4 linked regions of the Notamacropus eugenii genome follow. The protein of the gene in region 1 purifies or fractionates together with the protein of each later gene. This does not show direct contact. Links are inferred from orthologs where the notes say so. Each region holds a gene or a part of one and is shown on either strand. Other genes may lie near its edges.

What was found. Proteins that work in one complex are often made in the same cells at the same time.
Region 2: the proteins of DUSP9 (region 1) and MAPK11 purify together in Homo sapiens (affinity purification with mass spectrometry; 4 studies listed by BioGRID and IntAct, with this or other methods). This does not show direct contact. The link is inferred for Notamacropus eugenii from reciprocal best matches to the Homo sapiens genes DUSP9 and MAPK11.
Region 3: the proteins of DUSP9 (region 1) and MAPK3 purify together in Homo sapiens (affinity purification with mass spectrometry; 4 studies listed by BioGRID and IntAct, with this or other methods). This does not show direct contact. The link is inferred for Notamacropus eugenii from reciprocal best matches to the Homo sapiens genes DUSP9 and MAPK3.
Region 4: the proteins of DUSP9 (region 1) and MAPK14 purify together in Homo sapiens (affinity purification with mass spectrometry; 8 studies listed by BioGRID and IntAct, counting the BioPlex papers as one, with this or other methods). This does not show direct contact. The link is inferred for Notamacropus eugenii from reciprocal best matches to the Homo sapiens genes DUSP9 and MAPK14.

Annotation. Positions count from the first base shown.
Region 1 is NC_092879.1:22,351,568-22,359,508, forward strand, and holds the start of DUSP9 (dual specificity protein phosphatase 9), read left to right. Parts: upstream 1-4,923; 5' UTR 4,924-5,230; coding exon of another isoform or gene 5,231-5,303; 5' UTR 5,304-6,807; coding exon 6,808-7,189; intron 7,190-7,941. Other genes in the region: uncharacterized protein, read left to right, coding at 1,522-1,663, 2,101-2,292, 2,609-3,143, 5,231-5,303. UniProt on the Homo sapiens protein: Inactivates MAP kinases. Has a specificity for the ERK family.
Region 2 is NC_092874.1:304,210,832-304,218,800, forward strand, and holds the start of MAPK11 (mitogen-activated protein kinase 11), read left to right. Parts: upstream 1-4,963; 5' UTR 4,964-5,189; coding exon 5,190-5,305; intron 5,306-7,969. UniProt on the Homo sapiens protein: Serine/threonine kinase which acts as an essential component of the MAP kinase signal transduction pathway.
Region 3 is NC_092872.1:46,779,383-46,786,659, reverse strand, and holds the start of MAPK3 (mitogen-activated protein kinase 3), read right to left. Parts: upstream 3,007-7,277; 5' UTR 2,942-3,006; coding exon 2,769-2,941; intron 1,616-2,768; coding exon 1,433-1,615; intron 312-1,432; coding exon 122-311; intron 1-121.
Region 4 is NC_092873.1:93,170,755-93,177,781, reverse strand, and holds the start of MAPK14 (mitogen-activated protein kinase 14), read right to left. Parts: upstream 3,007-7,027; 5' UTR 2,565-3,006; coding exon 2,449-2,564; intron 1-2,448. UniProt on the Homo sapiens protein: Serine/threonine kinase which acts as an essential component of the MAP kinase signal transduction pathway.

The sequences.
Region 1 (7,941 bases):
TGCGTTTGGACTGGACGCCTTCATGGCGGTTTGGGTGTGTGTGTGTGTGTGTGTGTGTGTGTGTGTGTGTGTGTGTGTGTGTGTGTGTGTGTGTACACGCTCGCGTGTGTGCACTCAAGCAAGTGTGTGTTTTCTGTGACAGTGGTCCCTAGTGTTACCAGGGAGACTGAAGAGATAGAAGGTGGATTGGCACAGTGGGGTGGGGAAGGGCTTGCATTATTTAATGAAAATGGCTCTGGGAAGTTTACCTTTCTTCCCCCCCCCCACCACACACACCACACACACATACACATACTCTTCTCCTCCCCTCTTGGATCAGCCCTGAGTCACCAGCCACTAGCCAGGGAACTTCATTGCTGGCTGGAGATGGGGAGATGGGGGAGGGGGAACTGGGCACCTAACTCTTCCACCAAGTCCCATCTCTGCCAATGCTATGCCGGGCAATTCCATTCCACCCGAGTCATCTGCATTGAGGATCTGGCCGTAGCCTCAGAGGCAGTGTAAAAAGAAGTCTTCAGAATGTACCCAGTTTGGCCAGAGAGACAAGGTTCAAAAAAACCCCAGAACACAACCAGTTTTAAAAGAGTTAGTGCTGGGCAGAATGTACTATGGGTGCAGACAGTGAGGCCTGAACTGGGAGAGAGAGGGGACAGTGACCTTGGCACTGGGACAAGCAGGGGACACTCAGAGAGGAGGTGGGCTCAGAAGCATAAGAAGGCTTAGAAGGAACAGGCAAGAGAGAGCACAGAATTACCAAAGGGATGAACAACGTCCAGAACTGGGGGGGGGGGGGGGGGGGGGGGCGCGGGTGGCCGCACGTTCTGAGCAGACCCCAGAAAGGGTAGACAAGCTGTCAGTGTTTTCTGGGTTCAAATAACATATAAACCCATTTTATAGATGGAGAAACTGAGTCTCCGACTTCCTTATCAAAAGCCACACATTGAATTAACAGCAGTTCCAGACTAGAAACAGTTTTCCTAACTCTCAATCTGGTATATTGTCCAACACGTTGATGACAGGCAGGGTTCTCCTCCCCCTCCCCCCTCCCCCTCTAAATCCTAGTGTGGAGGGGGCTCCGTGTATATGAAAGCCCAGCCCTAGTAGCAAATGACAGAGGAGGCCCTTGGGACCTGGGACAGTAGCTGGGAAATTGCTTCTCCGCACTTGTGCATGTCTGAGCGCTGATGACTCAGGGGGATTAGTCACAGAAAAAAGCCTGCTGCTGGTCACCTTCTCCCCTTCCCTCACTCATCCTGTCCTAGCAACAGCGAGGCCCCAGATCTGGGGTCAGCTTTGATGCTGAACTGCGAAAGCATCTTCTCATCTAGGCAGTCTGCTGGAACAGAAAACATGCCGGGCTGGGAGGGAGGGGACCCAGGTCCCAATGCTGGCTCAGCCCACTGCTAGCTGTGGCAATCTTGGACACATCACTTAATGGGGGACACTCCGGGTTCCTCACCGGTTACGGGAGGGAGCTGGATTACTAGACTAACCTTGCAGCTCTTTTCCAGCTGTAGATCAATGGGTCCGTGGGGCTTCCCCAAGCTCGAGGTCTCCCTTCTCCGTCTGGCCTCTAAAGACCGGGCCCAGGTTAGCCTCGGGATGAGGCTCGTGCTGCCTCCTCTGCCTCCTGAAGCCCAGGCTAGGAGCTCCCCGAGGCAGGGTGCAGGGGTCAAGGACTGACAGGGCATTAGTTGTGTATTATCTCGGCTGCCTGGACGCCCTGCTCTGGGTTCCCAGTCTAGCCCTGAGTGGGCTGTACACATGGAAGGCATTAGGATGAGGGGCCGTGACTACATGGCTTCCTTGTAAGGAATGAGACCAAGGTCACTTCTGAGCCCTGTGGGGGCCAGTCTGTTTACTGGTCCCAGAGCGAGGCCGAATACAGCCTCGGACAAAACCCGAACCCTGGCCTCAGACTGAGCCCTAAAGTCAAGCAAGTCTCCCGGCTTCATATCCCCTCCATCCCTAGGAAGGGAGGGAGGAGGAGATGGGGATGGCGCATTCTCAACATTCAGGGATCACCATTCAGTGATCACACGGGGGGACTCGAAAGCAGCGTGTGCCTGTCCCCCCACCCCACACGCTCACACCCTTTAGCCCTGGGGTCACTGGGGTATGGGACCAAGCTGCCCCTCAGCCGGGCCCAGAGGCTCAGAAGGTCTCTGAGGCATGGCTCGGGTGCTGGATGGAGTGCCCACGTGGAGCTAAAAGCCTCCACAGGATTCAAACTGTTCGCTCAGGTCCCCCCCACCCCACCCTCCTCTAGAGAGGGGGCGGTGGCAGTGGCAAGTGGCGGGAGGGGGGGGATAGAGAGGAGCTTTGAGAGAGAGAGGAGGGAGAGAGGGGAGAGGGAGGGAGAGAGAGAGAGCGGAGAGAGAGAGCGAAACGGGGAGAGAGGGAGAGAGCAAAGAGAGAGAGGGGACACAGAGACAGAGGGGAGAGGGAGAGATAGGGAGAAGGGCACACCGGCAGAGAGAGGAAGTCAGAGATGGAAGAGAGAGACAAAACAGAAAGAAAGAGAAAGAGAGAGTGAGAAAGGAGATAGAGACTGGGGAAGACGCAAAGGGAGACAGAGGGGGAGACGGGAGGGGGGGGGGGGAGAGAGACGAAGGGGAAAGAGAGGGACAGAACAGAGCTAGACAGCGAGAGGAACGCGAGACGGTTCGGGTGAGCGCCAGAGCCGAGAGCCGGGAGGAGCGCGAGAGCCGGAGCGGAGGCTCGCCGCCCGTGTGCCCGTGTGCCGTGTGCCGTGTGCCCGTGTGCCCGTGGCGGCGGTGCGGGTCGCTGCTCCCAGAGGTACGGAGGAGGAGCCCGAGCCGGAGCCGGAGCCGGAGCCCGAGCCCGAGCCCGAGCCCGAGCCCGAGCCCGAGCCCGAGCCCGAGCCGGAGCCGGAGCCGGGGGAGGCGGCGGCGGCGGAGGCAGCGGGCTACTCGCCCACTTGCCCCCTCCTGCTCCCTCTCGACTGTGCGCGAGGCCGTTCGCTGCCCCGAGCTCCGGAGCCCCGCTCCTGCCCGCAGTGGTGGCCCCGGTGCTAGCGGCGACGGAGCGCGGCACCACCGCGCCGCCCCCACCCCCACCCCCCGGCTTCGGAAACTTCCCCCCGGCTGCGGCGGAGCGCGGCTCTGCACTAATACACTAAGGTGAGCGCGCGCCGGTCCGGCCCCTCCCTCCCCCTCCCCCTCCCCTGGTGCCTCTCCGCAGAGGCGCCCAGGACCCGGGCCGTGGGACTGGGGGCACTGCTGGCCAGCCGGACGTCCCTCCCACCCCACCCCCGCACACCCCAGGGCTGGGGGCGCAGGGAGCCCAGAGGAGAGCGGGCGGGGCTGGAAGGCGGCGGCGGCGGGGCTGCGGGAGGCATGGGGAGCTGCTTGCATAACCGCCACTCGCGGGAGCCTCATCCCCAACACCCACACCCCGACATATCCCAACACCCCCCCAACGTACACACTCTGCACACCCCGACATCACACACATGCATGCACCACATACACACACACACCAACGCACACCTTCAGCACACACCCCTAAACACACCCCCCGGCCCAACTGTCACACTCAGACACAAACCCAACACCCCCTGAATCTTCCAGCACATCCCACCCCAACATCCACACCGCCAACAAACGTACACATACACACACTCGTACCCAGGTACCCGACGCTCAAACCCACATACACGCCACTCTGTAGCCCTCTGCTCATACCCACAATCCTTCTAATGCAGAACACCACCAGAACACAGCCTTCTACCCCCCCTCTCCCCCACAATACACACATTCACCCTCACAATCTTCCCAATAGCCTTTCAGCACTTACACCCCGACACACTCCCCTCCAATATTAACACATCTGTATTCTCCCCAGCGCGACCCCCCCAACACCCATAAGGTACCCTCCTCAGACACATCCATTGTTAGGGGTTAGAGAAGCAGCGGGCCTTTCCCATCTCTGGACATCTGCTTTCCTCCTCTGAAAAAAACGAGGAGAGTGGATTGAGTGGTCTCTAAGGCCCCTTCTAGGTCTTGCAGTCTCTGTTCTGGTGCCATATCTCCACAAACTTGCTGAAGGCCCTTGTGTAAGTCCCTTCCCCTCTCTGGGTCTCAGTTTCCCCATCTATAAAATGGGGGGGGGGTTCTCCCACGTTCAACATTCTGTATCTGTATCTGTAAGGTAGGGAGTGAGGTGCACGCAGGCAAGAAAGGCCCTTGGGCTCCCCATACCCAGTTGGTCCAATGCACCAGACTCCAAAGCACCTTGGCATTCGATTGCTTCCATAGTCATGGCTTAGGAGAGGGAAGCCAGACTGGGGAACAAGGCATGAGGGGTGTCTGGGGAAGTGCCTAAGGGGAGAATAGCATCGAGGGAAGAGGGTTAAACATGCCTCAGGGCTTCTCTCTGTCTCTTGGTCTCTGTCTCTCTGTCTCTTAGTCTCTGTCTCTCTCCTTTCTGACTCTGTGTATGTATGTCTGTCTCACACATATACACAGGACAAACCAGTCATCCATTATCAGGTGAATGAGATGAGGGGACTTTCATGCTGCGGGGTGAGGGGGTGCCAGTGTGCCCAGCCCAGTCTTCCCAGCCCCTGCCTTCATGGAAACCTCAGCCTTTGGCTGTTCAGCTCTTCCTTCCTCACCCTCCAGTTCAACACCCCTTTCTACAGGTTGACTCCCTTCCTCTGTCCTTACCCATCCCCCCACCCACCCCCTGAAAATTACCCCAGTGTCCAAAGGAAATAGTTTCCAGGATGGAAGTTGGATGGCAGGGTGCCAGGAAACGGAGGCCCATACACACACACATTCATACACACACACACACACACACACACATTCATACACACACTCCTACACACACTTACATACACACACACACACACACACATATACATAAAGACACAGAAGTAGGTATCCCAAGACAAATACACACTAATGCACACACCAACATATACATGCCCACACTCCGAGGTACATACAGACATGCATCTGCCCGTGTACATATGTGTACATACACCTATATCCCCGCATTCAGAGACACATGCAAATACATACCAACTTACACATGCATAAATACATAGGCCAATGCTCCTTCCTCTTTTCATCCTCCCCATCCCCCTTTCCCAGCCAACTGGGAAATTCCGGAGACTCAGGCTCTGCCCCCAGGCTCACCTACTGCTTTTCTCATTGGGGAGCTGACCTCAGCTCCTGACTTCTTTTCTCCAACTCTACAGGTCTCAGCACCAGGTCGTGTCAGGACCACTGCCCTCCACCTTCCACCCCAGTCGCTGCGTTTGGGGCGACTAACAGATCTTCATCGGGTGGTCTCTCCGAGAGGAACCATGCAGCCCACCGAAGGCCTAGCTGAGTTCTGAGAGCCCAGCCACTGGCCGCCTCTTCTTTCAGATTCTGCCCTTGATTTGCCAGCGGTTTTGGATACCCAGGCAGCCGTCTGGGCCCCCTGGCTTCCCCAATCACCTCGAAAACAATACCCCAGCACATAGGCTAGGGGGAAGAAGGAAATCCTGCCCCTTCACCACCTCACATCCTCCTTCCTCTGCGTGTTTTGTGTCTCTCCCTCCCCTCAATTCCAGCTGTAGCACATCTGGAAGAACAATTCCCCCTCCTCAACTCCCAGAGATCCAGAACAGCCCTTCAGATTCTCAGGACCTCTTCCCCTTGCATAAGGCTCTGATTGGCCTTGGACTCAGTTTCTTCTGAGTTTTACTCTTCTCCTCAGCTCTAGAAGACAACTTGACCAAACATCTGAAGAGACCTCAGCCCCCTGAAAACACTGAATTGTCCAACTGAATTTATTGAAGACCCTGTAGTCAAAGGGTCACAAACCCTCTCCCTAAGAGAAGATGGTCTCCTTCCCTCTTCCCTGATCTGGTGGGATCAGGGGCTGCTGGACCCTCCCTCTTGACCTGGAGAATTAGCCTTCCTCCCTGCCCCCCCCCCCATTGAGTCTTTGCCTTACAGAGAACTTTGAGTCAGGAAAGGGACTGGAAAGAAGGTTCTTGGATAGTACCCTCACCCAGGCCCTCAGGGAAGAGGTCCCAGTAAACTGCCACCAACGTCATAGTACTACAGAATCGAAATAGCGATTCAAGGTGACAACCTTTTCCCCCCAATTGTTGGAGCAGGAAGAACCAGGCTCCTGTGAGTACCTCAAGTGAAGGTGGGAGATTAAAAACCTAGGAGGTGAAGGTTGTGATTGGAGCTTGGAGGGAGTGGTGCTTTTTAAATATTCCTGGGACCTCCAAGTTCATTCCTAAAGCTGCTCAGTGGAGAAGGAAGATACGGACATAGCCAGGTGAGCCAGGAAGGAAATCCCTCACGGCTTCCTGAGAGAGGAGGTTTTCATTTGCCCACGAGATCCATTGGCAGCTGTGTTCTAGACAGTGTGGTTTTCTTCATTTTGGCTTTTTGTCTCTGTCTCTTTTTAAAATAACAAAAAAAGTTGTCTTCAATCCCATCACTATCTCTTTCCACTTCCTCTGCCCCATTCCCATGCACAAACCTACACATACACCTTCAGCCTAGCCTTACTATCTGACTGACTCCTTGGGCTGTTCTGAGAGTGGACTGAGAGAAGTAGAGATGATCCTTAGCCCTCATCCTTCCCATCTCCTCTTCCTTGCTTGAGAGACACAGAGACAGAGACAGAGAAACAGAGAGAGGAGAGAGAGACAGAGAGAGAAAGCCTGAGGAGAAAGAGAAAGAACTGGCCCTGGCCCCTGGGTCATGTACATATCCATCCTTGGCCCCTCTGAAAAGATCAGGGGGAGCTCAGTAGTCATCTTTCCTCATGGAGGGCCTTGGAAGATCATCCCTGTGGCTGAGCAGAGAACTAGCTGCCCCCCAGCCTCAGCTGCTCCTTCTGGACTGCCGGAGCAGGGAACTCTATGAGTCAGGCCACGTCCAGGGGGCTCTTAGTGTAGCCCTCCCGGCCCTGCTGCTTCGGAGGCTGAGGAAGGGCAATTTGTCTGTGTGCTCCCTGCTCCCCAGCCCACTGCAGCAGCGGCAGCAGCAGTGGCAGCCACAGCAGCAGCCGCTGCCCCCTCTGCCCATCCTCCTGTATGATGAAGGCCAATGTGTTGAGGAGGAGGAAGCCGAGGCAGCCCAGTCAGTGCTAGCCACCTTGCTCCAGAAGCTGCAAGAGGAAGGCCACCCTGCCTACTACCTACAAGGTAGGTGCCTGGACTGGGGCGAGCAGCTCTTGAGAGACTGAGCAGCCCCTGGAGGTGGGAGTAGGGACAGTGAGGCCTTGAGGAGCAGGAGGTTTTGGTGGAAGGAGCACTGGCCTGTGAGGGAGTGTCGAGGTAAAGCTTTGACCCCCAGCTACATCCCTCATTGACTGAGTGTAAGCGAGCCTCGGTTTCCTCTCTTGGAAGAAAAGAGAATAGCCCCCCTACCCTGCCTCCCTTACAGGGTCACAGAGCAAACTCACAGGCAAACCTTTCTTGGGCTCCTAGGCCAAGGCTCTTTCTACCCCATCCAGCTTGCCAGATCTTATCTCCCTAATTATGTTTTTTTCAGGGCTTTACCCTGCTTGGGCCTGCTCTGCCCAGACTTGCCCCTCCCAGCTATGGCCTAGGGGGAGGTTTTCCATAAGAAATTGAAATCAGCTGTCCTCCGCTTAAATCAGATTTTTAAAAAATCAAATTATAGTTTAAATGCAAGGGGGTAGCTGGCAACTCAAAGGAATCCTGTATAGGCCTTTCTGGAAAGTAAAGAATCCTTGTATAAATCGAGTCATCACTCTCTAATTTTTTGATCTGGAGATCTGGATTTTCATGCACTGTGTATTCCTGTCCATCTACGGTGGGGAGGAAGGAGTAAGGTGTTCCCACCGATCAGATATTCTGATTTTCCCCCATATGGTATATCTGGGGGGGGGGGAATATCTGGCCTGCCAATCTGATCATAGAGCTGGAAGAGA
Region 2 (7,969 bases), on another chromosome or scaffold:
CAGTGGTGGAGTAGGGGATCCTGCTGCTAAAACAAGGCTGGAGAATCAGCAGTTTCTAATCTGGGAGGACTGAAGAGGAGCAGCCCCAGGTCCTGCTCTCAAGGAGCTCTCCATGGTAGGGAGTGTGGTCTAGAAATGAGACACTCCCTTGACATAGATAAGAGAGGACACACGGCATATTTTGGGTTCATTTAGGACTTAAAAGTTTGCAGAGAACAATCATCCTCTGTCATCTACAGGAAATTGTCCGGAGGTAGGTACAACAAATGTACTTGCCCCCATTTTTCAAATGAGAAAACTGAGGCAAATCGAGGTGGAGAGACTTGTCTTCATAGCTACTAAGAGGCAGAATTTTAATATCAGTCTCTCTTTAGCTCTCTAGGAGACTGGGGGGTAATTATAAGAAGGCAGATTTCACCTTATACTGGAAGACTGCCTGAGCTTTTAGAAGTGTCCAACAGTGAGACAACCAGCCATATCAGGTAGTGAGCTCCCTGTCCTCAAAAGTTTTCAGTGAGGTCAGAGGAGTCCCAGTCTGAAAGGCTTCAGGGGAGATTCCTAGAGTGAGTGGGGGTGGGGTGGAGAGGTTGAACTGGCTACTTTCCGAGATCACTTTTTAAAAAATATTTGGCTAAATCCATCAGCCCATGGTTTGGCGATTCCATCCATCTAGGCCCATGTAACTTCTTCTCATCCCATGGGTCTACCCATCAGTGCTCCCACTGAACCCCACCCCCAACCTGCTAGGGCTTTCTTCCCCTTTCTCTGAATTCGAAGTGGCTGGGAGAAGTTCTAGAAGCTGGGGGAGGGTTGTACACTGGAAGGGGCTGCCCACATCCCAGTTCCATGGACCCACACAAAGGTCCAAGATGAGTGGAGTGGGGGTAGGCGGTGAGGGGAAAGTAGATTTCTACATGTGCTCTGGGATACAGAAAGGAAGGTGGGGGAGGGAGAGGGAAAGCTTCTTTGTCTCCAGGAAAAAAAGGACCCCAGAAGGCTCTGACCTCACCTTTGAGATTCAAATGTGGTCAAGTGAAAAGGCTGGAGGAGGGAACTAATGAAGGAGAGAGAAGGGGCACCCAGGATGGAGGAGGCCTGCCAGCTCAAGCCTCCTCCCCCTCTTCCTCAGGCAAAAACAGGGCTGATGGGCAGTGGGGTGGGCCTCAGCCTTAGTCCCCCAGTCCCTCCACGGCTTCTAGAATATTCAAGTCCTGTATACAAACATACACACACACACACAGACACACACAGACACACACAGACACACACACACACACAGACACACACACACACACACACAGACACACACACACACACACACACACACACACACACACACACACACACACACACACACACACACACACACACACACACACCCCTATCCAGAGTCTGCCTAATACTGGTTTAAAGACTCATGGGCCATCAAAGATGGAAGGAACAGGAGAGGTTATTTAGATCATTGCTCCATTTTACACCAGGTAAACTAAGGCTAGAGGGGGGAAGAGACTTAAACCTAAAACTTTGGCTTCCACTGGACAGCTAACCTGCCCTTCCTCCTCAATTCCAATAAGTCCCCTCTCCTTGGGCCTTTTATTATGGGCCTCTCTCAATGTACTTCTCATTTAATTGTAGTACCTGGCTTGAGGCAATTCCCAGAAAGGAAACTCTCAAGGTTCAAAGGGACTACCTTTGGGTATGCATTCCTTTTTTAAAATTAAAGTTGTTTTTTTAACTAACAAAAATTATTTTTATTTCTTCCCCCTTTCATTGAAAAAGAAAAGAAAAACAAAACCCTCCTAACAAGTATGCATAGTTAAGCAAAACAAATTCCCAAACTGACCAGGTCCCCTAAAATCCCAATCTGCACCCTAAATCCACTGGCTCAGGGACTTTCCGAAATCATGCTTCATCATTATCCTTTTTTTTTTTTTTTTGGCAATTGGGGTTAAGTGACTTGCCCAGAGTCATATAGCTAGTAAGTGTCTGAGGTTAGATTTGAACTCAGGTCCTCCTGACTTTGGGGCCCTTGACCTATTAACTGTGCCAGCCAAACTGACCCAAGTCATTGTTTTAATCAGAGTTGTTACTGAGTTGTTATAGCATAGATCGTTCTCCTGGTCCTGCTCACTTCAATCTGCACCAGTTCATATAAGTCTTCCCAGGTTTCTCTGAATCCATCTTGATCGTTTCTTATGGCACAAAAGTATTCTATTACACTTACATGTTTTAATTTGCTTAGCATTTCCCAATTAATGAACATATCCCCTTTGTTTCTGGTTTCAAAAAAGAGCTGCTATAAATATTTTTGTACAAATGTTCTTTTCCTGGGTACCCATATAATGTGCTTTCCATTAACAGTCAGCCAGTAGGTACAACTGATTCTTTTTTTTTCCCTTTAATATGGCTTTTTTTTTTATTTTTATTTTTTAATGTTTAACAATCACTGCCATACAATTGCGATTTTATGCCCCCCCACATACCCCCCACTACCCCCCTCCCTCCCCACGACTGCATACAATTCTGTATAGATTCTACATATACTTTCCTATTGAGAATATTTTCACCATAGTCATGCTATGTAGTCAGACTAAGATAAATGAAAGAAATCGTATAACAAATCAGAACATGATACACAAACACATATACATACACAAACATGATCTGCTACATTATGTGAGTGACTTCCATATTTCTCTCTCTGAGTGTGGAAGGCATTTTGCCTTGAGATCCACCATTGGGATTTTTTTTTTTTTGTAAGAGGTTCTTGTGTTATTACACAAATCTAAGTCTACCAGAAAAAATTCTCACACACTGTGGTTGTTGCTGTGCATAAAGTTCTCCTGGTTCTGCTCCTTTCACTCAGCATCAGGTCATATAAGTCCTTCCAGGCCTCTCTGAAGTCTTCTTGTTCATCATTTCTTATGGCACAATAGTACTCCATTACATTCATATACCATAATTTATTCAGCCATTCCCCAATTGATGGACATCCCCTTGACTTCCAGTTTTTGGCAACTACATAGAGTGCTGCTATAAATATTTTTGTACATGTGGGACCCTTTCCCATTTTTATGATCTCTTGGGGATATAGTCCTAGTAGCGATATTGCTGGGTCAAAGGGTATGCACATTTTTGTAGCCCTTTGGGCATAGTTCCAAATTGCTCTCCAGAATGGTTGGATGCGCTCGCAGCTCCACCAACAATGAATTAGTGTTCCAACTCTCCCACATCCTCTCCAGCATTTATCATTTTCTTGTTCTGTCATGTTTGCCAATCTTATAGGTGTGATGTGGGTACAACTGATTCTTAGCAAAGGTATTTACTAAGATGGCATAGTAAGGAGAGTCAGGTTGTAGACAGGCATTTATTCAGTGCCTACTATGTGCCAGGATTAATAGCTACCAAACATTCCCCAAGATAAACTTAAAATGTCCTCTCCCACAAACGAGCAGGCATAAAATTAGGGCACAACAGTAGCTGGGCACACACATATAAGATGCGTATAAAAGCCAAGGTTTCTTATAACTCCTGGTAATGTGGGGCTTGGAAGTCTTTTCTCTCTTCCTGGGAATCTCACACAGCTTCCCCTTGACTGGAGCATCTCTGTTGGGTGGCTTGCTCCCCTGGGTCCTGAGGTTCTGTTCCTCTCCACGTTGCTCTCAATTGACAGTGATGATTCTCTCTTCATTCCATAGCTGCCACTCTTCTTTGTGGCCGAGTCCCTTCCTCAAGTTTGTTTCCCTCTTCAAGTGATTTCAGTGACTCTACTCCCACAACTGTGTCTCAGACTGATGAATTCTCATATTGTTAAAAGGGGTATTTCTGTCTAGATAACTCAGAGGTAGGAGAGTGGTTCAGTAAAGAGAGCAGTGGGCCAAGAGTCAGGAAGACCTGAATTCAAATCCTGCCTCAGATATTTACTTAATACTTAATAAATGTTTATTGGATGAATGAATGACTAAGTGCACACAGAACCAAAGGTTTAGAGCTGGAAGGCACCTTCATGGTCCAAGGATCCAAACTCCCCATTTTACAGAGTAGGAAACTGAGTCTCAAGAAGACATGGAGACTTACTCAAGGTCTCACAGATTATTCAGTGGTGGACCCCAGATTTAAAACCAGGCATTCTGACTCACAGTCCAGTACTCTCCTCTATACCAGTCCTTAAAACTCAATTTAAGCATTTACTAAGCTCCTTTTAATGTAATCCTAACCCTAAATGCACTTGGATGTTGTTTTTGCATTAGAATTCTAAGTGCTTGGGGCAAGAATTGTTTGCCCCTTTCTTCGTGTGCCTGGCACATAGTGGGCATTTAATAAAGGTTTGTACAGTTGATTTGCAGGCCCCGGTGCCAGGCCCTGGGAATGTGGCTCTGCCCTCAAGGAACCTCGATCCAACCAGGGCTGAGATGTAACCAGCGAAGTGTGACCCCGAGGGTGAACCAAGGCCACCCAACGGGTGCTGGATAGAGCCGGGAAGAAAGGAAGGGTCCCGAGAGCAGAAGGAAGGACATCCAAAGCTCCAGGCTCGGGAGAGCAAGAGATGGAATCGCGCAGGCTCCGGGATGCGCCAAGTGGCCCAGTTCGGCTAGAACCACACGTCAGGCTGAGACATTTGGAGTTTGTTCCTCATGCACAAGGGAGCCACGGGAGGTTCCTGAGCGACTTGGGAGGGACGCAACTTCATGGCTGGGTGGAGACAGCCCGGGAATCGGCTCAGGGGCGCGTGGCCAGGGTGCAGGAGAAAGGGGATGAGAACTCAGGGTGAAGGATGATGTAGGGTGGCGGCAGCGGGAAGGGAGGGTCCGGGGAAGGGGACTGAGAGGAGGGGGTGGAGGGTTGGGAGGGGCCGGGAGGCGGGGGGAGGGGGAAAGGGGGCTGTGGGCGTGTCCTGGACCTCGGTGGGGCGGGGTCACTTTCTGGGGATTCTCTCAAACGCGGCAGTGGCTCCGCCCCCAGACATTGAGGGCGGGGTCGCGGAGACCGGAGCCCCTTCCCTCTCCCCATGCCCCGCCCCGCCCTGCCCCTGGGACCCCCGGGCAGCTTCTGAGCTCTGCCAGCCGGACCCGCCGGGTGGGCAGAGCCGGGCATCCAGGCTGCTGGAGGGATCGCAGCCCGAGCCGGGGCCGGGGCCGGGGCCAGAGCGGGGCCCGACAGAGGCCAGCTCGGCCCCCCAGGCCCGAGCCATGTCGGCTCCTCGCGGCGGCTTCTACCGACAGGAGCTGAACAAGACCCTGTGGGAGGTCCCCGAGCGCTTCCAGAGCCTGAGCCCAGTGGGCTCGGGGGCCTACGGCTCCGTCTGGTACCGGGCGGGCTGCGGGGGCTGGGGGCTGGAGGGGGAGGGCACGAGGGGAGAGGGGCCCGGGGAGGAGCCGGGGTGGTGGCTGGAGAAACCCCCCCCCCAGCCCCGCCCTGCCCTTCCCGGATTAAATGAATGAATGAACGAACGAAGGAAAAAGGGGATGAATGGAAGTTCCCTTCCCCCGCCCTGCCAGCGCAGTCGGAGAAGCCCCGGATACCCCCGGCCCCCGAACTGGCTGGCAGGAGCGCCCCTGAATTTTGGGCTGGTAGCACCCCCCTTCCCAGCCTACCCCCAGCCCTTTCAGAAGCCAGAGTTGGGGTGGGGAGGGAGGACTGTGGTCCGGGGCCGAGGGCAGTAGCTAATTCAAAAGCCCCTTGTCTTGGGGGTGGGGGGGTGGGAGGAGACTGCTGGGGTACTTACTGTGTGACCATGGGTTCAGGCTCCCCCTGTCAGTCAGCCTGATGTCTGTTTGTCCCAGCTCATACTGACTTCCTGGGGCCTGTGGGGAGCCCTAGATAATGGGGGTGGGGGGTGGATAAAGGCTACATAGGTTTGAACTCTGACCCCTCAGCTCCTGGCTCGTCTCCACCGCTAATCAGCCACACACACTGACTCCAGTTCCCTTGTGACCGTTAGGGATTCTGGGAGTAGCCAATAGGGCTGAGGGGCAAGGCCTTTTGTTGGGGACCCCCGGGTCAGAGGTGGGGGAACCCTGGGCCCTGGGGGCTCCCTCTTCTGAAAGGCAGCCCCTAGAGGAGTTCTGCTTTCCAGGGCAGACACAGCCCTAGAGGCTCCCCCTTCTGGAGACAGATATAGCTCTGTAGAAGTCCCTCTTCTGGAAGACAACCTTCACTCAGAATGGGGACAAGGGATAATCCAGGTTGAGGGCCAAATGAGCCCAGAGCCCTGTTCGGGGAGCAGGGAGTATGAGGCTGGGCATGGCTTGGCCATGGGAGAACTGAGGGCTAGAAGCTGAGGAGGAGGAGCTCCTGGTGATGGGTGGGCAGCTGAGCTCAGGCAGAACCGGGCTGCAGGGGGCCCACAGGGCCCTACCTTGGCTCTGGCCAAGCTCAGGCTTTGCAGACTCACTGTGGTAACAGCTGTAGCCAAGCAGAGTGGAGCAAGAGGAAGGGACTGCTGGGAAGAAAGAGAGGTCTCTGGGCACTCCCACAGCTCCTGAGAGGAGGCAGGCATCCTCTGTCGAGGTCTCTTGCCAAACTTCTATGGAAGATTGCTGAGCACCTACTATGCACAGGCCACTTCTGAGAGAGGCTCTTGCCCTGCCCCCAAGGAGCTTACCTTCCAGCAGGGCAGATGTGGCCTAGCCCAAGGGTCCTCAGAGGTCTAGGCTAAACAGAGAGAAAACTGAAGCTAAGAGTGTGCAAGGGAGATGTCCAAGCTCACACGGGGAGTCAGTGGCAAAGCTAGATCCCTGGCCCCCTGACTTTCCAGCCAGGGATCCAGGCATGCTATACCTGGATGTTTCTGAAGTCAGGGACCCAAAGGACTCCCTGCCCAGGTAGGGAATGGCTGTCCCATAAGAAAGGACAGACTGGTTCTGGGGATGCAGGGTTTGGAGAAGATAGTCTAAGCCTAGGGCAGGAGGATTACCAGAGAAGGGAAGCCTCCATGGGCTTGGAAGTATGGATGTGATACCAGTAGAAAGAGATACAGAGTTTGTGGAGGGGTGTACCGGCAGAAGGTACAGTGTGTGCAAAGGTGTGGAGAAAGAAACTGGGCTGGGTAGTTTGCTTTGAAAGCTAGAACATCTGGAGTCTGAGAGGGGATCGTGAGTTACAAGCTAGAGGCAGAGGTTGGTGCCGTGGAAGGCCTTGAATGTCAGGCTGAAATGTCAGAATTTTTTCTCCATGGCTCCTGTGGAGCTATTAAAGTTTCCAGAGGAGGGAAGTCACATAATTCAAGTGCTGCTGTAGCAGGTGAACGTGGCAGCCATTGCCAGTTGTAAGGGACATTTCAAAGGCAAGAGATGCTCATTAAGCGTGTTGGGCGAGACAGATCTCATTTCTGGCCCTGCCTGGCCTGTTGGACTCCACAGATCAGGGCAATGGCCTAGAAAGTGGATTCCTGTATTTCAGCACAGGACTTGCCAGGTTCTCCCAGGATCTCAGTGGAGGAATTCAGGCCCAGAGATCCCAAATCCCCAAGGACAGTAATTAATGATGACCCAAGGAGGTGTTTAGCAGAGTACCCCAAGGCTCTGCCTACGGCCCAGCCTTCAGAATATTCAATAGTCCTTTGCTGTTGGACATTTTCACTAATGATTTGGTGAAGACCTAAAAGATATACTTATCCAGGCAGTGAGCTGAGGCTCACAGTACAGCCGCTACGAGAATCTAAAATGATGGTGACAGGCTAGTGCTGGACTGAAACTAACAAGAGGGAACTGAATGGGAAAAATGTAAAGTCTTGTGCTGTGATCCAAAAGATCACTATGTACTAGATGGTAATTTCTGTTTAAAAAAAAAAAAAGATATGAAGAGGATATCATACCAGGAATGGACCTTCTAGTAACCATCTATTCCAGTCCCCTCCTTTTACAGATGAAGGAACTGAGGCTCCAAGAGGACAAATGACTTGCTTGAGGTTAGACATGTAAGCAGTAGCAGAGCTGGAATTCAAACTCAGGTCCCTGATAAGATTCAC
Region 3 (7,277 bases), on another chromosome or scaffold:
CAGTGATAAGCAGCTTGGAGGCTGTACTTCTTGACACAGAGATTGGACGTACATACAGGGCAAAGTGGGGTGAGGTGGGAGAAGGAAGAGACGTGATGGTCTGCCATCTCTGCCTTCTCACCTTGAGGTCACAAGTGGTGTTAATGAGCAGGTTGGAGGGTTTGAGGTCCCGATGGAGCACATTGGCTGAGTGGATATATTTGAGGCCCCGAAGGATTTGGTACAGGAAGTAGCAGACATGGTCGTTACTCAGCTGCTGGCTCTTGAGCAGCTTATACAAGTCTGTTTCCATCAGGTCCTGAACAATGTAGCTGAGGGAGACATGGAGGAGTTCCCCCCCACTCCAACCAGGAAGTGGGGGAACCGATAGGAAGTAGAGTTAAGGAGAATAACAGACTGATGCTATTGTCAGTAACCCCATCAGGCCAACCAAAGGGCCCCTTCATCTAGTCTTTTTCTGCCATTTTATTTTTGAATGGCCCGGACCCCATCAAACAGTTCTTTTTACAGTATAAATCCATACACATGGGGAATGGTGGGAGGAAAGGGACTGACAGGGTTTCACTTGAAGTTGAGAAGAGGAAAGGGCATTTGGAAGAAAATAAAGGGAGGAAAACTGAAAAAGACAGCAGAGAGGAAAAAGGGCATGATAATACAGTCCAAAATCTGGACAAGGTCCAAGGATCTTCCTGTTGGGGAGGTACCTGGGTGGGGCTTTGAGGGGGAAAGTTCAAGAGAAGATGGCTATAAGCCCCCATCTGTTTGACAGGAGAAAAAGGAGGGGTTGGCAGGAAAACAGGCGATATATAGAAGATTTATGTGGGGCTTCACAGGCTCTGTTGCAGAGACTCACTATCTACAAAATTTTAATTAAACCCTGACTATGGGCAGAGACCTGGCCAAGGTCTCAGAATCTCTAAATATTAAGAGCTGGGAGGAACTTCAGAGATCATCTAGTTCAATATCTCATTTTATAAGAAGAAAGTGAAGCACAAGATGGGATTAAAATCAGGATCTACTAATTTATAGGGGTAGCTAAGTGGCACAGTAGATACAGTGCTAGGTCTGAAGACCCAAGACTCCTCTTCCTGAGTTCAAATATGGCCCCCGATATTTACTAGCTGTGTGACCCTGGACAAGTCACTTGACTCTGTTTGCCTCAGTTCCTCATCTGAAAAATGAGCTAGAGAAGGAAATGGTAAACCACTCCAGTATCTCTGCCAAGAAAATCCCAAAAGGGGTCATGAAGATTTGGACATGACTGAAACATATGAACAAAACTAATTCATAAACCCCTTCGCTTCTCCCTATACCACATTCTCTCTTCTACTGGGGCATGGAGTCGAGAAAGGAACACAAGACAGAGAAGGAAAAAAAAAGCCCCTACAGAGCCTGATCTGGGGTCAGAGTTGAATAAAGGGGTTAAGGATACACATCCCTCATGGCCTCCAGTGTGGGTGCTCGAAGGATGTCACGGATGCCAATGACATTTTCATGATGGCAACGAAGCAGGATCTGAATCTCTCGTAGGGTGCGCTGGCAATATGTCTGGTGCTCAAACGGGCTGATCTTTTTGATGGCTACCCGGGCCTTCCGCACATGGTCAAAGGCAGAGCTGTTGGGGCAGAGGGCAAAGGATCTATCCTGGATCACAGCTGGAGGAGAGCTGTGCCCAGGGGGAAGGAGAAAAAATGCAGACAGAATTGGGGGGGGGGTTGGTTTGGGGGGAGCAGGATAGCCTAGAGATTAAGGGAACATCTGCAGAGCCTAGGCCACTGAGCTCCACCCAGGCCTTGGGGTAGGGGATGGGAAGAGGGAGGGGAGGAGGAGGTGGAGGGAGGATGGGGGGGGGGGGGGGTCAAGGGAGAACTCTGACCAGGCAGTAAACAATGCTGGCTCCTTCCTGCCACTAGTGCCTGAAGCCTCCAGGGAGTGGGCTGGGGACCAGCCAACCCAAGCTCTGACTTCACTCCAGGAAGAAGAGACCACTGACCCTCCTCCTCCCCACCTCTCAACCTAAACTCCAGCTGTTAGGACCCCTAGTATGTCTCTTTCTATTCCTATTACCCAGAAGTCTAAAAGAGGGATGAGGAGGGTAAGGAGAAAATAGGAAATAAAGAGAAAATACGTCAGGAAGTCCTCAAGCCAGGCATCCTAGGAGGAAAGGAGATGGGGCCCAGAAGGAGGGTACCAAAGGGCCACAGGGGTGGTGGTTGAAGAAAGTATACATAAGGAACGAGCGGGGATCTGGGTCTCCAGGAGAGGCCTGTCCCGCAGAGGGGGATGTCTAGAGGGGCGCAGCAGAGACAGGGGCATAGCCATGCACCAGCCCAGCCCCACACCCCAAGTCTGAGGGGAGCTCACACCTCCCCACCCAGATGCCCCTCCCCCCCAGGAACCTGCCCAGGCCCCCTCCCCTTCCTAGGGCCCCCTCCCTCAGCACATCTCCGGAGCCCCGTTCTCTTCCTCTGATCGCTCCCTCTTTTCCCTTTTCCTCCTTCCTCACACCCCTGGACACCCCCTCCTCCCTTAGAACATCCTCGGAGCCCCCTCCTCAACCTCGGAACGTCCCCTCCTTCAGAACATCGCCAGAGGCCCCTCCCCTCCCTAAGAACATCCCCAGAGACCCCTCCCCTTCCTCAGATCGTACCCTGGGCTCCCCTCCCTTCCCCAAGAAAATCCCCGCAGACCCCTCCCCTCCTTAAACACCCCGGGAGCCCCTTCCCCTCTCTCAGGACACCTCCGGAGCCCCCTCCCCCGGCCCGTACCTGACCATGCCGTACGCCCCCTCCCCGATGTACTGCAACTCTGTGTAGCGCGGTCCCACGTCAAACGGCTGGCCCTTCACCATCTCCACCTTGCCCGGGACCCCCGGACCCGACCCGTCAACTCCCCGGGGCTCCCCGCCCCCTCCCCCCTCAGCCGCCACCGCCGCCGCCATCTCCACTCCCCTCCCTCCCCGCGGCTCCGCCCGGGGTCCCGCCTAGGCGCGCGCCGGCCCCGCCCTCCGTGTCGTCACCCCGCCGCGCAGGCCCCGCCCCCGACCGGGCCCCGCCCCCCGGCTCCCGCTGGCTCGCAGCTCCTGGCTCTCGGGCTGGCGGGCTCGGCGCTTGCGCCTGCGCGGCCTGGGCTCCACGCCTCTGCCCGGCCTCCACCGCAGGCCTGGGCCTCCTGGGAGCAGTGTCCGGGGCTTGGCACCCCACCCCCTGCCGGAGGGGCGCGATCCCTCGCCGCTCGGCCTTGGGCAAGCCTGCCTCGCTCTATGTCTTCCGGGCCTCAGTTTCGTTGTCTTTTCCCGGTTGAGGGCCTTGCGGCGAGGCCCTTCCGGGCAGTAAAACTGCGTGGACATCGGTGAAGCGCCTTCACGAGCACGAGTGGAAAGGCCGGGCCGAGAGGGCAGAGGTCCGGGGCTTCACCCACGGCCACATTTAGGCCTCCACCTGGAGAGTTAGGGAAGAGCCCAAGGGGGGTCAGCTTCCCGTCCTGGGCCAGAGGGCCTGGGCAGGTGCCCCAACAGGCTTGGGGTTCAGGTTCCCCTTCTGTAAAACAGCGGCCTAGACCGCGTGGCCCCGAGGCCCGCGTCCGACCCCGACCCTGTGGCCCTCTGCCCCTCCTTGGGAGGACGGCTTTGTTTCATAGATACAAGAGGAGTGGGTATGCCATTGGTCAGTACACATCTGGTAAGCGCCTACTCTGTGCCAGGCACCGGGCAAAATGCTGGAGAAATAAAGAGGCAACGGACAGTGCCTGCCCTCCAGGAGCTCCACGAGGACACGGAAGTGATGCCGCTCTGGAGGGAAGGCACCAGCTGGGAGAGGGGGGACGGACAGACGGAGGAAGTGCCTGCAGCTGGAGGGGAAGGACCTTGTCCCAGAACAGCAGGGGGCAAGTGTGAGGACACTGGAAAGCTCAGAGGGGGCTAGGTGACCTCCACGCAGGGAGGCTTGTGCTTGACCCTGGAGGCCACAGGGAGCTTTTGGGGAGTGGGCTGTGACGTGATCCCGTCTAAGGTTAGACTCCATGCTCTTAGAAATTTCATCACTTTTAATTTACCCCCTGAGCACAGACTGGGCTGAGAAAACTGCATAGAGGATGATAATTTAGGACAGCAAAAACTAAATTTTTTTTAAATCTAGTTCTAAATGGTTATTCAGCCTGGAAATGGACAGAAATCATGAGTTAACCTCATTAGTCAAAAAAAAAAATTAGTCACCAACCTGCCTGCCTTTCCCCCAGTACAGATTAAGTTATTATTTCCACTGATGTCTTGTTCAGTCCTGTCTGGCTTTTTGTGACCCCCATTTGGAGTTGTCTTGGCAAAGATGCTGAAGTGGTTTGCCATTTCCCAGCTCATTTTACAGACGAGGAAACTGAGGCAGACAGGGTTAATTATTGCTCAAGTGTCTGTGGCTGCAATTGAACTCACGTCTTCCTAACTCCAGGCCTAAGGGCTTTATCCACTTTACCACTTAGATTTCCTTTGATACTTGAGATGACTGATTATCCCAGCTCCATTACCAGGGGAGTGTGCACAAAGCAACCCATCTTTTTTTTCTGCATATGTGGATGTTATTCCCAGCTTTCCGTTAATCTTTCCTAGAAGCTCTTTTTGATATACTTGAAGTCTTCCTCTGGTTTATCTATACTTTGCTGCTCCCTGTCACTGAATTTCTTGAAAGGACAAGACAACAGTGTACAATAGGGTAGGGTTATACAAACATATCTGGAGGGCTTCCGTATGATTTTTTTTTCCCCTCGAAAGATCAGGAACAAAATCTTCCTCTTGTGCTAAAGCAGACCTGTGCAAAATGGAGCTTCATGATTCCAGAATCCCTCATAATTTGTTTCTGAATCAGATATACTAATTCACGGTGGTGTGGCTCATATGCTAATTTAATAAACCCCCGAGGAACATGCAACAGGCCTGGCAGGATCTGGGTTTAGCCCTTGCTAATATGATAAGGCTTTTTTTATAAACTAACTTCGTGTAATTACAAGAGACCAGTGACTCAATAAAGTACCAGATAGAGATCTGCTGTGAGCCATGGGTGGAGTGCTAACATAGGGAAGTTAGTTCTATGACAGCTTGTCATATAAGACTGCAATTATTTCACCCCATGCAGTGTTTGTAAAAATCATTTTCTAGTGACTATGAATGATATTTCCTGAAACTAACTCCTATGTTGGAGGCGACTGATTCAGCGTATTAAATCAGCCATAAAATTGGAGCTGGAAAGAATTTTAGAGATTAAGTTAATTTCAACAAACATTGAGCATCTACTCTATATGAAGGTACTGTACTGGGTGCTGGGGTTGCAAAGACAAAAACAGAACAGTTACTGATCTAAATAAACTTAGGTTTAACTGGGTGTATATAACAAATATATGTAAATACAAGGAAGTATTCAGGAAAGTGGGTTGGATCTGGAAGGGTCCTGTAAATATCTACATCAGACCTGAACCTTGAAGGAAACTAAGAATTTTAAAAAGTAAAAATGATTAGGAGGTCTGGAAATACACAGAATCCTTCCAGTCTGTACAAGTGCAGAGCCAAAGGAACAACTACTCCATTTTCTTCTTTCTGCCTCTTCCTCTTTGTCTGTGATCTCTGGGGCATTTGACACTGTTGAAAACCCGAGTCCTGCAAGGCTCAACCCCCCTGGAACAAATCTTTCCCCATCAGAATCATCAATCAGATGGCAGTCAAAACTCAAACTAGTCTGGGGGGGAAGGGAAATGAAACTACGCTCACTAGGAATGTGCTTTATTATGCATTTATGTTCTGAATAAATGGCCTTATTGTTTACACACAGAGAGAGAATCCTCTTCCTTGACATTCCCTTGCCTTCTGTGACACAGCACTCTAGGTTCTACTTTTAACTGTTCCTTCTCTATTTCCTTCCCTGGTTGGTCTTTCTTCTCCCAACTCTTTAACAAAATTATTCTCCAAGGCTTATCTTTGGCCCTTTCCTTTGATTATCTTATCCTCCTCCCAAGACATCAAACCTCTGTACAGGATCCAAATTATTATATACAGATCTGATCATGTCACTCTCCTGTTCAAATTTTTCCATATGTTCCTTTTGCCTGCCAAATATAAGTCAAAATTCCTTAATTTGGCACTCAAGGGCTTCCGTAATCTGGTGTCTTTCCACCTTTCTGGTCTTATATAAGAGTATTCTCTCCACTGTGTACTCTGTACTCCAGCTGAATTGGACTACTTGCCATCCTCTGTACACATCTCATACTTTCCTTTTTTTGAATGATCTCCCCACCTTACCCACATCCAGAAGTAAAGTGGCCATTCCCAGGTCTGACGCTACTGTTGATGACATGGCAGCTTTTGACCTGCTCCATTTTCTGCCTGAGCCAGCTTGCCTCTCCTTAGACAGTGTGGTGAAACACCTTCTTGCATATTAGTGCCAAAGTCAATGAGGACACCTGATCACCTCTAGAGCTATTGCAATATAATTCAAAACATCCAAGCTCAGTCAATCCACCAGCATCAGCCACTTGAGTAATAGGAATTAAGGATGTGTGCCACCATGACCAGCCATGTCATACCTTTATCCATGCCTTTGATTATACAATTCCCAGTTTTGGAAAGTCCTACCTGCTACCTCTGTCTTTTGAAATTCTACCCATCCTTTAAATTCCAGTTGATCTAAATCCTTCATGAGGTGTTCCCTATACCCCTCAATTGAATGTAATAATTTCTTTATAATATGTTTATCAAGTGCATCCTGAGCCCCACCCCTTTCTTTTACAGCTAGTTCTAGGTTCCTGGTACTGTTAGACTAATTAGCAATTTAAACTCACTGTTGATGAGTCCCTAACAATGTTTCTTTTACTGAACTAAACTGGGATGCCTATAGATTCAAAGCAAAGTTATTTAATATGAAAGAATATTAGAATTAAATCAAGTTTTAAACTTTCAGCATTTATCCCCAAATGGCCACTCCTTTTCACAGTAACGTGGATCATATGTCTCCTGAGGAGCACTAGTCTTCTGGTTAACTCTCAGTCTCTTCATTATCACAGGAGGTATATTAGTCTGTCACAGAAGTTATGCTAGGCCCACAGTTCTAGGTCTTCACTCTCAGCTCAGCTCTGGTTTTCTCTCTTTGACTTCTGGTTGCTTCTTTGTGAGACAATCATTATCCCCTGACCTGGTCTCAGGTCTCATTACTCCTGACTGCTGCTGGTCACTTACTCCCGGGAGATCAGGAGAGAAGGATTAGAAAAAGTGTTAGGAAGTTTGTGAAGGAAGTTCAACC
Region 4 (7,027 bases), on another chromosome or scaffold:
AAAGTCTCAATGCTTTATAGATGTACATGGCTTTTTGACCAAAAAACCAGTATCTTCCAGTTTCATCACCTACATTACTCCACCAGAAACCTACCTACAAAGGAAAAGGTTGTAGCTAGCAGCTTCAAAAGGAAGAAAATATGCTACGACTGAAAATATTCACAAGAATGTATTCTGATGGATAATTCCAAAAGAGCTCCAAATATGTTGCAAGAGTCTTAGGCATACAAACTATGAAGGTTTTGAAGAGCTTGCTCCCAAACTCTTTGCATGTATGTTTTAGTCACTTTACTTTAAAGGCATAGCTCATAAATTAAGCTAATCAGCAAATGTAGTAGATAACACCAAACCAAACAATGTACTCATTGATTTACTATTCTCACACTGTCATAAGAGATATCTCAGTGGACAGTTTACTTCATGCAGAACTGCTAATGTTCAGAAAACAAACAGTACACGCAAGAATAAATCCATTGGGTAGATTCTTTAGTTCAATTCAACTAGTTCATCTAGCATAAAATCACTCAACTAATAAATAATTCTAGTTGGAAACAAAAATCGAATTCATTAAGATTGATTTACTTAAGATGGACCAAATGATCTGGTAAAGAAATAGTCACACATAAAACTGAAAATGTGCAAATATAGATGAGTTTTCAGAAAAGAAATTATTTCAATCGAGTTGCTTTATAATGAAAATTTTCATTTGGAAAGAATGGGAAAAAAAGATGCAGAGTACTGTACAATCTGCTACACATATTAAACAGTGAGCTTAAAAATGCAATATGATCTGTTACTGGATGCAATTGCACAATCTCAGTTTCAGAGCAAATTCTACCAAACAGGAAATTCATGATGTGACTCTAAGGAGCACAGGAATCATGTTGAAGGAGTGTGCCAAAGAGGAATATTTCCTAAAAACAGAAATTATTTGGCAAGTATGAAATTGTTACAAACAATTTTCAAATTATATATGCACACAACACTAAAGAAAAAAAACCCTGTAACCATCACCTATTTATTTCCAGGCCAATATTTATGACAAATCTAAAGTACACAATTCATCATATGGCTTTCATTGGCTAAATACGTGTTTAAACTAAAATAAATTTGAAGAAGAGAAAGGTCTGCCTTGTGAAACGATGAGATATGAAGTGAACTGTTCAAACTGAGACAGAATGAACATTTGTTAGTGACACTGCAGAAGTTTTGCTTTTGCTGGAAGGCTACATTAGACAATTTCAAAAGTCCCTTCCAATTCTAAGAATCTAACTTAAAAAATTTAATTACGCTACATAAAGAATTATTATGGTAACATACTTTCTACACATTTACAATTCATCATAGCCAGTGACCTCTTTCAAGTTCTCCATTTTCTTGTTTTCCTGAGGCAAACATTCTACACCTGTTTTCTCAGCAATAAATGTAGAAAGTTCTTGTGTACACTAGCAAATGCACCATGGTATGAAACTTTTACAATACTTTTGGTAAAGTGAATTGAATATTATCCCAATCGTGCAAAAATATAATTTCTGTCACTGTGAACAACCACTTTTCATCTTAGGGATGTCACACCAGGCCCATTTTCCCAGAGTCAAATGAAAATGTTCTGTCAAGAACTTTACAATACTTGAATAAAAAAATGCTCTAATGCTTGCAATCATTCCATGGAACTCTAAAATGACAACAGCCTTGTAGGTGCCTTCTTTTCATTTAAAAAAAAAAAATTAGCTTCCAACCAGCTGAGGTTGCAATGCACATTAAAAATTGGCAGGCTTGCAGAAATGTAAGAAATTTCAAGCTCAAAAGGTTGAGAATGATGAAATCTCATCAAATATGCCCGTTTCTGAAAACTGGATTCATATTTAATCAACAGATGTTTGCAAAAAAAAAAAAAGTAAGAAAAAACATTTCCCCCCCATCAGGCACAAAACCCAGTGGGGTTTGCTGCCCAAGAACGACGTCTTACTAGTTCTCCCATTCTTAGGCTGCTTCCCCATGTTTGGCCTGTCTGCAGCCCGTGCCAGATCTGACACACGGCGGGGGCGGGTGGGGAACCGTCGCGAACGCCCGCCGAAGCTGGCAAAGATCAATAAAGGGCCAAGCTTGCCTTCCGCTGGTAGAACTTCCTCAATAAGTTGACCTCCCATTCCCATCTTCCCTGCAGCCCTACGGGGTGCGGGGCGGGGGGGTCTGAAGAAAGAGAGTCCCCTTGAGCAGGCAACCCGGGCCGTCCGGTATCCGACTAATGCAAACGGCTCTACGTAGGTGCAAACGAGTTGTCATAAGCTGGCTCCGCCGTGCAAGAGGGGGCACGAGGGTGTGCAGGAGGGAGCAGTGCCCTCTCCGAGGTGGGGGGGAATTCCTGCCGCTTGGCGCATCCCTGAGCTCCTGGGAAGCAAGCTGGAGACTCCGGCCCCGTCCCACCCTCCAGCTCGGGATACTCACCACACCGACCCGTAGGCGCCGGAGCCTACTGGGGACAGGTTCTGGTAGCGCTCGGGCACCTCCCAGATGGTCTTGTTCAGCTCCTGCCGGTAGAACTTAGGCCTCTCCTGAGACATCTTCCACCGACGGCTGCAGCGCAGGGGAGGTGGCCCAGCGGGAGCCAGCCAGCGCCTCCGCCCGCCCGCCCGTCGGGGCCGGGCCCCCCCCGCAGCTCCCCCGGCGCTCCGCAGGTGCTGCCGCAGCGACGGCCCCGCCGACCCCCGAAGCCGCTGTCAGCCGGGGGCGCGCGGCGACTCTGCCCACCCCCGGGGGACCCTGGCCACCGGCAAGGGGGGCTTCCCACACTCAGGACCCGGGACTGCGCCCGCCTTCCTGCTGCTTCCCCCCGGTACCCGAGGGCTGGGCCGGGAGGGGGTCCGAAGCGGGGGTAGCGAAAGGGCCGGTTTCTCCGCCCGGAGGTGGCTGCTGCAGCAGCGGCGGTGCAGCTCAGGCTCCGACGGCAGCTCCCGCGCCAGCTGCGGCTCCGGCGCCTGCGAATCTGCGAGCTCCTCCCCTCCCCCCACCCCACCTCCCCGCAGACGGGAACTCCTGGACGAGATCTCGCGAGAGCCTCGCGCGGGGTGGGTCCGGGGAGGTCCTCCGCGAGCCCAGATTTTACCCAATATGGAACCTGCTCGCGCGGGGGACAGGGGGAAGGCAAGGGATTATGGAGGGGGAGGGGGAGGAGGAGGAGGAGCGGAGGAGGAGGCGTGTTCTCGCGAGACGTAGCTCGCGGACGCCTCTGCGTGTCTTCCCCAGGTCGGAGATTTGTTTCTCGGCCAGGCGGGAATGAGAGCTGACCGGAAGCTGTCGGTGGTCCCGTGGGAGAGACAGGGACACGGGGGTCTTGCCGGTGCGCATTTATTGATGGGCGTCAAACCCCGCTGGCCTGCCCGTGTAGGGCCGGAGAGGGAGGAACGCGCGGCCCCTTGGCCCGGCCTCTGCCCAGGCAAACCGCTGGCCTCGGCTCGGAGAGGCCCGTGCAGTCCCTGCAGGGCCTTACAGCCGAGCTGGACCCTTCTCGATGGAGGGGAGCCTCGTGTCCGCTTGGCAGATTCACCACCAGCCTCAATGCCACAGTCATGTACTAAATCTCTCGAGGCGCTGGCAGAGATGCCAGGACACAGACTGTGCCTCAGGACACTGTGAGCCCAGAGACGTCTCCTGACCCCTGAGCCTCAGTTTTCTGGTCTGTAAAACGGAGATAACGAGAGCGCCTACTCACGGGGCTGACGTAGGGATCAAAGTCAATTCAATAAACGTCTTAAATGAGAGTGCCCACCATGTGCCAGGCGCCGTGCCCATCGCTCGGGCTACAAAAAGGCAAAAGACAGATGTTGCCCTCGAGGCTCTTTCAACCTGATGGAATTAATGAGTTAACGCGTGAAGTGCTGTGCTCGTACGTCTAAAATGATACTTAGGATCCTCCCAAGCCTTCTGGAAGCTGACAGCCTATGTGGGTTGGCTGACATGAATAAATAGAAATACCTTTAATGCAAAGTTATACGTGATAAAGAGGAAAGAACCTCTAGAGAAATTTATGTAAAGAAGTGGACAGGAAGGACCCATAGAGAGAAAGCATGGATGGATTGCCATCTTCATCCTTGGAGAAAGTACTGAAGTCGAGGGAAAGAGCTCCAAGAATAGCCCTGTCAGGTACCACGAGGGTCTTTCAGGCCTGGGGGTGGTCAGGGAGGGCTTTCTGGAGGAGGTGGCATTTCAGTTGGATTTTGAATGTGGGAGATGGGTAGCCATGGTGGTTCAGTACTCTGGGAACGTCTTGAAAAAAACAAAACACTAGCGATTGGAAAGAAAAAAAGATTGCAAAAAATCCTGTTTCCCATCATAAAATATTTTCACCTGATTTGAAGCACCATCAGAATTACTAGTCTAGAACTCTAATAGTGAAGACCTTTCAAAGCTTCAAAATTTGACCATACTTGAGATTTCTTCTGTGTAGGTATTACTTCCAACATTTGAATGGTAATTATTCCTCTGCACAGGATCCACCAAACATTTTGGGCTCCTTCCTCTATATCTCTTGATGGTATATGGGTACCAGTGGAACACTTGGGTCATCCATTATTATCTTTCATTGTCTTTATGTAACCTACCTACCTCCTCTTCCAATTGGACCTCTTTAATTTTTTTCAAACTTTTTAGTTTTTGCATCACTTACTTTTCCCAGTATGGCCACACTTTTAAAAAAAAAGGGAAAAAAATTCAGCAGAACTAAACAGCACATCCAGAGAGTTTCACATTATCTGTAGTGTTGCCCACCCATGGTCCTCACCTCTCCATTTTAATATATCTTTTTGGTGACTTGGATTAGTTATTATACTTTCTCAGCATTCAGTTTTAATTGGTTTTTTTCATTAAACTGTTTTGTACATTGTTTTCCTGCTTCTATTTACTTTACTTTGCATCAATTATGTATTTTTATGTAATTCTCTCTAGTCATTATATTGTTTCTTATCAGTCAGTAAACATTTATTAAGCTCCTGCTATGTGCCAGGTACTGTGCTAAGTATTGGGGTTATGAAAAGAGGTAAAAACGGTCCCTGCCCTCACAGAGTTTACAATCTAATGAGGGAGACAAAAAGCAAACAAATAGAAACAACATATATATGGGATAAATACGACCCATATAGGGAAGGCACTAGCAATGATATAGGTTTGAGAAAGTGTGGGAAAAGATGAAACTTCAGTAGAGATTTGAAGGAAACCAGGAAAGCCAGTAGGAGATGATGAGGGAGAGTGGCATTTCATTATGCACCATAATATACCACAGTTTGTTTAGTCACTCTCTGGTTACTGGGTATATACTGTTTCCAGTTCTTTGCTATCACAAAGTTCTGTAGCAAATATTTTGGTATGTGTGAAGTCTTTCTTTTTTGTCATTGACCAACTTGAGGTTAAAATGCCTACTAGTGGAATCACACTAGAACAAAGGATATAGGAGTTTAGTCACATTCCACAAATAATTCCAAATTGCTTTCCATAAAATAGTGAGACCAAGTTACAGCTCTACCAACAATGCATTAGTGTGCCTGTCTTTCTTTCCACAATCCGTTTGACATTGACTATTCCCATCTTTTGTACCTTTGCCAATTTGCTGGTTATAAAGTGAAACGAGTTCTTTTGATTTGCTGTTCTCTTATTTTTAGTTAATGGTATCACTTTATATGGTTTTTACTAGTTTGCAATTCTTTTGAGAATTACTTATTATCTTTTGACCACTTATCTATTAGAAAATTACTTTTGTTCTTGTATATTTTTCTTGGCTGACTATATATTTTGGATGTTAGACCATTATCAGAAATGTTTGATATAAAGATTTTCTCTTTGGTTGACAACTTCTCTTTTCTTAATGGCATTAATTTTGTTTGTGCAAAGTTCACCTAATTAAAAATATCCATTTTATTTTTTATACTTACCACTATCCTTTGTCTGACTATTCATCTCCTTGCCTCAAACTCTCTTAACCTTCCTATTTAATTCTTTTATTTCATTGTCCATTTGCAGTGTATGTTAGAGCCAATATGTATGCCCTGATGGACCTACACTATGGGCTCTTTACTCTAATAGCTTATTGTATCATAGTCTGGACAGTAAGCATCTTTACATACTTTATTTTTCCATATGGATAATTAGGTTAAAGTCTTTTAAGTGATTATGGATCTCATTTTAGAATTTTCACCCTGTCATCTGTAAATAAGGGTATTTGGATGACTTCACCATCTACAGGAGATTGATCCCTCTTTCATTTAGACTCTGTACTAGAGATCTCCATGATAGTGGCAAGCACTTTTTAAAAAGCCTAGTTCTGTTTTAGGTCTCACTTTAATAACAAGAGGGTAGACCTAGCTATCTCAATTGTACCGTTCAAGGAATGTATGAGTTAACATATGCAGGGGAGGCACCTTGTTGGAAGACAGGCTTTGAGGTAGCATCTTGCTCTACCAAATCAAATGTTGAGTTTTTTTTTCTTTGTAGTTAACAAACAATAGTGGTGACTCCCAGTCATCAAAGGAAAAAGCAATTTTTTGTAAAAGTCTTGGCAAATCTCTTCTTTCATTTTACATTTACATTTCATCTGTAAATGTTCATGAGAGGATATTGATGTGGTTTGGGTTGCTGGAAACCCTGAAATATCAGGGTACAGGACAGTGTCTGGAATGAATTCAAGCACTCAAGCCTTCTTCCAGACAAATGAGGAGAGATTCTTAGGGAATCTTCAAATTGAAGAGGGTGAGACATGCTTATATACAAAAAGGATCTGAATGGGATTAAGGAGTGCTACATAGTCTGGGGTAGGCCTGGTGAAACAGTGAAAGGAATGTCAAGTAAGCTAATTAGGTCATCTAGGTGGGTGGCTTGGGTGGAGGCACTAGTGATCTAGGCTGCTGAAATGTATGGGAAAATTCAGGGACTGGGTTTCAAAGGCATGATCTTTTCCTTTTAGGGACCCAGGTCCCATCACCCCATCAATATGATTGGGTAATTAGGTCTCTCACCAAGCTTTTTGTAAACTTGTACT